Linked DNA regions of Callithrix jacchus. The protein of the gene in region 1 interacts with the protein of each later gene in a biochemical or structural test. Links are inferred from orthologs where the notes say so. Each region holds a gene or a part of one and is shown in the gene's direction. Other genes may lie near its edges.

Region 1 (3,654 bases):
AAGGCTTCTCTTCCCTGTATTCACAAGGGCAAAATAGTCCTTTGGAGTTATAGGGAGTTTCCCATATGCTGTGTAGGTAATTATATTAAGGAGTGTATTAGTTACTGTTGGATAGGGAGAAAAATGGCTTGACTAGTCTTCTGGTAGATGATGGAGAGGCTTGAATAGTGCTATACATGTTATTCTTTCTTTACCTGAGAATATTCTTCCTTTGGAAAACGGGCCAGATTAACTGGATAAGACATGAGAATGGAATTGGGCGTTAATTTTTATATGTATATATTTTTTGTCTTATTTATACTGTAGGCACAGAAGGTGTGGTTTCAGAGTAGATTTTAAGACACTTAAGTCTGTCATTATCTTGCAGACCCTACAACTACAGATCAGAGTCTTTTATTAATAGAAAAGTACATTTCATTTGTGGTTCCTTTCTGTTTATCTAGATTGAAATAGACTATTGAAGACTAAATTTTGTACTGCAGCAATATTTATAATCCATTTGACAGGATTTGGGGATTTTTGTAAGATTTTAATGTTACAAATTTCAATTTAATATATATTGACTTTATCGTGAGATTGTTATATATCATTGTTTAAATAAAACTTTATCATGGCCAGATATGGTGGTTCACACCTGTAATCCCAGCACTTTGGGAGGCTGATGCAGGAGAACCACTTGAGGCCAAGAATTCAAGACCAGCCTGGGCAACACAGCAAGGCTCTATCTCTACCAAAAAAAAATGTTTTAAATAAATAAAGAGAAAACTTCATTCTAAGAACATGGGCTTTGGAGTTCAACAGATGTGGTCCAACATAGGCCTTTATACTTGCTGTGTGGCCTTCAGCAAGTTACCTTCTTAGAGTCCCAGTTTTCCTATTTTTTCAGATAGGAATGATAATACTTATTTTATAGGTTTGTTCAATGAATTAAATAGATTATTGTTTTATGGCTATATAAAGCTATATAGAGTTGTTTATAGCATGTGATAAATGGTAGCTGTTATTTGTATTGAACTCCTACCTTGTTTAAACATTTCCCTTTCATGTTTTTTTTTTTTTAATCCTTTTTAGTAAAAAAGCACGCTTAGATTGGAATACTGATGCTGCCTCTTTGATTGGAGAAGAACTTCAAGTAGATTTCCTGGATCATGTTCCCCTCACAACACACAACTTTGTAAGTTGCACATCTCTCTTTCTAGCATGTTGAGGGCTTTGCCAGGCCTAACAGAAATTTCTCAGGTAATAGGCATATGTGTGTGTGTGTGTGTGTGTGTGTGTGTATTTGGATTGTTTGAGGCTCTTTATGCCATTGTTTACAGTAAGGCAATTTAGATTTCATTGCCTTAGTCAGAGATACACTTTAATTTATGATTATGAATTCTGTAAATGTTGGAAGTATGATTGATTTTTGTAAAAACTCTTTTGGAGGCCAAGGAAGAAAATGACTTTGTCTTTTGTCATCTTTTATTCAGCATAATTTACACCTGTGTTCTTGTAGGCTCGGAAGACGTTCCTGAAGCTTGCCTTCTGTGACATCTGTCAGAAATTCCTGCTCAATGGATTTCGATGTCAGACTTGTGGCTACAAATTTCATGAGCACTGTAGCACCAAAGTACCTACTATGTGTGTGGACTGGAGTAATATCAGACAACTCTTGTAAGGCATTGTTCATTTTCTCAAGGAATATAGGGATAAGGAGTATAAATACTTTAAAGGATATTCATTGTAGATTTTGACTGACAGGTCTGGATTCTAGATTCATTTACAGAATTGTGATCCAGAAACTATCTACTTTAGAAACAGATACTTCTGAAACTAGCTAGGTTTGGTGGCATTAATACTCCAAAATGAGCAGGTAGGAATAGGACTTGTTGTCTGTTAAATTGAGATTGCCATATTGTGACTGTGATTCAGTAAGGAAAAGAACAAAAGGATATGAAAATGAGAAGATTTTTTGGTTTTCTCTCTTAATAGTATCATCTGCTGGGTTGCTAGTAGACACTGCTCTGTATTTTGTTGCTTATGCTGAACAAGCCTTTAACATTGAGAAGGAGCAGAAAGCGCAGTTGATGCTATTTTCTTAACTCCAAACTGGAGAAAACTTAGTTGTTTGGACTTAAAATTGTTTGAACATAAAATCTTGAAAGATTCTTGTTTCTGTCAGGACACAATATATTTCATATAGACAAAATATTATTTTATTAAAAAATTTAAAGTACATGGTCCAAACTGCCTTTTAAAAACTGTCACCAGGAATATGAAAAGTTTAAAGTTTTGTCCTTTTCGACAGTACTAGAGAAACCAAGAGAGTGTTATTAGACCATAATGGAAACATCTTTTTTGCTTTCGTGGTTACTCACATATTGATTTTGTAATGAGAGCTTGAGTAGCACAAATGGCAGGCACAACCTTTTTTTATTTGTCTTATTTTTGTCCTTCAAAAAAAAAAACAGGGTCTCACCCTCTTGCCCAGGCTGGAGGGCAGTGGCATGATCATAGCTCACTATAGCCTCAACCTCTTGGGTTCAAGTAATCCTCACCTCAGTCTCCTTAGTAGCTGAGACTACAGGTGTATTTCACCATGCCTAGCTAACTTTTGTATTTTTTGTAGAGACGGGGTTTCATCGTGTTGCCTGGGTTGGTCTCCAACTCCTGAGCTCAAGCAATCTGTCCACCTTAGCCTTCCAAAGTGTTGCAGGTACAGGCATGAGCCACTGCACCCAGCAGCACAAGCTTTTGAGTCCAACAGACATGTACCAAAATCTCAGTGTTCTCATTAACCATAATCACATCTGAGTTTTCATTCACGTGTCTGAATAAAGGGGATATTACCTTCCTTGCATTGTTTTTGTGAGGCTTGCTGACATAACCTGTGAAATTTACTAAGCACAAGTGCCCAGCTCATGGAAAGAAGGTGCCTAATTACTCACTTTTCTATGATTTATTCCTCCTGTTTTACTGTTTTTATCTATGTATTTCCAAGTTGAAATGTTTCTGGAAAAGCACTATGTGACATAGTTTGTAAAATGCTGTGTAGTCTGAAAAAACATTATTTTGATCCTGCTAGACATAGGACCAATATTTCCTAAAAATGCACAGTCCTAGAAATGCACACTGGGGTGGGCATGGTGGCTAACGCCTGTAATCCCAGCACTTAGGGAGGCTGAGGTGGGTGGATCAGCTGAGGTCAGGAGTTCAAGACCAGCTTGGCCAACATAGTGAAACCCTGTCTCTACTAAAAATACAAAAATTAGCTGGATGTGGTGGTGTACACCTGTAATCCCAGGTACTTGGGAGGCTGAAGCAGGAGAACCTGGGAGGCAGAGGTTGCAGTGAGCCGAGTATGCACCACTACACTCCAACCTGGGCAACGGAGCAAGACTCCGTCTCAAAAAAAAAAAAGAAATGCACGCTGGAGACTGTATGTTTATTGGCAGGTCAGTATTATTCACATTTAATAATCATTCAAACCCAGTTATTTGGAATGTTGTTCCTTTTACTGTAGGTAACGTAAAACAGTTGAGGAAAATGTGACTGGGCAAAGTTCAGTTTGAATAGCTGTGAGTTTGCAAAAGCAAGGCATGCTGATTATCTCTGTAAGATTACTACAGCTCTAAAAACCAGTCTTTCCCTGCTTTCATTTAGATTGTTTCC
Region 2 (3,654 bases), on another chromosome or scaffold:
GCAAAGAACATTTTGCTGATTCATAGAAGGTCCAAGTTGAACATGATAGTGGGGTTGGGAGAGTCATCCTATTCAATTCTTTATATTAGAGATGGGGTACTAAAACCCAGCACAGATTAGGACTAGCTCAAGACCACATATTTCTTTTTTTCTCTCATTTTGTAACATTAATTGGTGTGTGTTTGTGTTTTGGCATTTATTTATTTATTATTTAGAGACAGAGTCTCACTCTGTCACCCAGGCTGGAGTACAGTGGCGTGATCTCAGCAGCTCACTGGCAACCTCTACCTCCCGGGTTCAAGTAATTCTCCTGCCTCAGCCTCGGCTCTGCCTGCCACCACACCCATCTAATTATTTTGTATTTTTAATAGAGATGGGGTTTTACCATGTTGGCCAGGCTGGTCTCAAACTCCTGAGCTCAAGTGATCTGCCTGCCTCAGCCTCCCAAAATGCTGGGATTATAGGAGTGAGCCACCACTCCTGGCCTATATGTTTGTGTTTTAACTACAGAATACATGCTGACTGTACAAAAGTTTTAAGTACATGTGTAGGCACTAATATGGAAAATAAAAATTACCCACGAGGCCCTAACTCAGAGATGACATTACCAAAGCCTGAAATGTATTTTTCATCTTAAAAAAATATTTGGTATAGGCCGGGCGCAATAGCTCACACCTATAATCCCAGCGCTTAGGGAGGCCAAGGCTTGTGGATCACCGAAGGTCAGGAGTTCAAGATCAGCCTGGCCAACATGGCGAAACCCCATCTCTACTAAAAATACAAAAATTAGCTGAGTATGGTGGCAGGCGCCTGTGATCCCAGCTATTTGGGAGACCGAGGCAGAAGAATCACTTGAACCTGGGAGGTGGAGGTTGCAGTGAGCCGAGATTGTGCCACTGCACTCCTGCCTAGGTGACAGAGAGAGACTTCCTCTCAAAAAAAAAATTTTGGGCCAGAAGGAGGATGGGAAGAAAAAAAACAAAAAAAAATTTTTTTTGCTATGTTATGTATGCTTTGTAAATTATTCTTTTATTGGATAAAAAATTAAACATTTTCTCATCTACTACTAAAAGAAAAAAAAATTAAACATTTTCCTGTGATGGTACTTTTCAAAGCTTGCATTTCATCTTATATAAATGTTTCATTTACCTTGCCAATTCTGTATTATTCATTATGTAATATTATTTTTAGTATTTTGTGTAATGCTTCTTTGAATATCCTTAGACATAAATCTTTTTTGACTGTTCTTGATTTTTTGGTAGAATAAATTCTTTGAGTTGAAATTGCTGGGTGATGTTTAAAGCTCTTGTTACATGTTATGAAATCTATATCTGTAGCTCTTGGCCGTGATAAACATCCTCAGAGATCCCTGCTATCCAGCAGGTAACTGGTCATTAGGCCAAGCTGTATGAATGAACCATTAGACAATTTAATAAAAGTAAGCACTGCTGCCATTCGTTAGCATGTGTCTGTGCCACAAGTTAATTACACATATACATATATTCCCTTTGCCTCGCAGTAACCCTCTAGGGTGTGGGTATTATAATCTTCTTTTTTTAAATGAGAGTACTGAGGCATGAATAGTCTTAAGTAATTTGTTCAAGAATACTTGTTAGTCAGTGGCAGTCGGGATTCATACCTAGGCTTTGAAGACTCTAAGCCTGTGCTTTTAACATCTGCCTCTTGTGTGCTGGTATACACTTGTGACTAGGGGCTTCACTGGAGCCAAGCCTCAGGAGGCATTTGCAGCCACAGTGCGTCATGTGAGGTAGAGCAGACTACAACCCAATAGAATTCTTAGACTGGCCCAAGGCCAGCCTTTATAATTTTTCCAAGAGATGAAGTTGTGGATCTGACATGTTACCTGGCCTGCCAGGGCTGTGTTGGACTCAGTGTGGTCGCTTCATTAGTATCGCAGCGTGGAATTTTCTATCAGCCTCAAAGAACCCTTGCAATAATGCATTATTCCCCCACAGGGTTTTCTGCCCAAGGATTTGCAAGCTGAAGCTCTCTGCAAACTTGATAGGAAAGTAAAAGCCACAATAGAGCAATTTATGAAGATCTTGGAGGAGATTGACACACTGGTAAGTAAATATTCAGCTGAGAAGAACTAGTTTTCTTTGACTTTCTTTCAGTCACTTTCACTCTTTCAATAATGTACTCTCCTATTGCCTGAGCAAACCCATCACTTGAGAATATTAAGCATATACTATTGTGTGCCATCACATTGCTAGGTCCTGGGTGAGTGCACAATAATAAGACAGTTCCTGCTTTCTAGGCACTCACAGCCCTCCAGCATAGGACTTTTATCATTTATACTTATGTTTGTCAGTAGCATCTCTAATCAACATGAAGCTGGGACCCAAGTAGTCCACAATCTCGTGGTCAAGGAAACAGAGGACTTCACTTTCTCTGCTCCTCATGTGACTGATCATTCTGCAGGGCTACTTACTTATAGAGGATTCAGCCAGACCCAGATCTTATCAGGCTGTTGAAAACCATTAACTCAGGTTCTCTTTTGCAGATAGTAGTATGATATTAGCCTGATGTTTCATTCTTGACGGTGACCTGTGCTGTGTGCTTCTGTTGGCCAGAGTTGTAAAGCAGCAGCAGCAGGCACTTTTCCTGTCACAGTGAGCCCACAGTCTGGCCAGGGCAGAGTATCCATACATAGGAAACAATAAAAGAACAAAGTCTGTGTTACAGATCTGTTCCTATGGCCCAGACGTTGAGAACAGAGGGAGCTTTTATAGGGACAAGAGCCATGGAAGGGCCATATGGGATACAGACCCAGGGAAGGCGTTCTTGAAAATGCACGTTTATTTACATTGGTGACCTGTGACCCGTTTTATGTACTGTGGGTGTTTCTTATGTGTTCTCATGTCATTTTCACTGAGGATTATTTATGTGTCAACTTACTCTTCCATAGATCCTGCCAGAAAATTTCAAAGACAGTAGATTGAAAAGGAAAGGCTTGGTAAAAAAGGTTCAGGTGAGTTGTGTCATAGTGCATGACAAAGTGTAATATGTTAATATGTTGGTATGTGTGTTTATCTGTTCAAAGTCGAGTAATATAGAAGGATGGTGTGTGGTATGTGCTTGTTTTGGTTATTGTTCATTTATCAGCAAGGACCCCAAACATCAGAGAAGAGCCCCCTATATCCCTATAATTATATTTGAATTTAAACTATTTAGGGAGGGAACTCACTGGAGAGCAGACAGAGTTGACACGTTACACAATTCCAGGAGGCAGTATTCATGCATACAGTGCCCCCTGCAATTGTTCAGTGGCCTCGCGGCAAAGCTTTTGTGGCCTTTCCCACCTTTTAGGGGATTGCTGGCCTAGAGCGTGGTCAGAGACCCTGGTCCTATGCTTCCTCCCTCCCCTTACCTTGGAGCCCAGGCTAGTTGCCCATCTCCATTCATGCACAGTCTGTTTTGGGTCTCAGTCATGGGTTCCCCAGAATGTCTAGGCAAAGAGCCTTGTGTGGGCAGTGGTTGGCTATCCCAGGATGGGCCCTCACTGCCCCATGTGTATTTTCTAGGCATTCCTAGCCGAGTGTGACACAGTGGAACAGAACATCTGCCAGGAGACCGAACGGCTACAGTCTACAAACTTTGCCCTGGCTGAGTGAGGTATGGCAGAAAGAGGCT

The links. The genes of interacting proteins can lie anywhere in the genome.
Region 2: the proteins of RAF1 (region 1) and BAG1 form a complex in vitro, tested with the Homo sapiens proteins (2 studies listed by BioGRID). The link is inferred for Callithrix jacchus from reciprocal best matches to the Homo sapiens genes RAF1 and BAG1.

The regions. Positions count from the first base shown.
Region 1 is NC_133516.1:69,764,162-69,767,815, reverse strand, and holds part of RAF1 (RAF proto-oncogene serine/threonine-protein kinase), read left to right. Parts: intron 1-1,071; coding exon 1,072-1,174; intron 1,175-1,498; coding exon 1,499-1,656; intron 1,657-3,645; coding exon 3,646-3,654. UniProt on the Homo sapiens protein: Serine/threonine-protein kinase that acts as a regulatory link between the membrane-associated Ras GTPases and the MAPK/ERK cascade, and this critical regulatory link functions as a switch determining cell fate decisions including proliferation, differentiation, apoptosis, survival and oncogenic transformation.
Region 2 is NC_133502.1:140,446,444-140,450,097, reverse strand, and holds part of BAG1 (BAG family molecular chaperone regulator 1), read left to right. Parts: intron 1-1,976; coding exon 1,977-2,084; intron 2,085-2,929; coding exon 2,930-2,992; intron 2,993-3,545; coding exon 3,546-3,635; 3' UTR 3,636-3,654. UniProt on the Homo sapiens protein: Co-chaperone for HSP70 and HSC70 chaperone proteins. Acts as a nucleotide-exchange factor (NEF) promoting the release of ADP from the HSP70 and HSC70 proteins thereby triggering client/substrate protein release.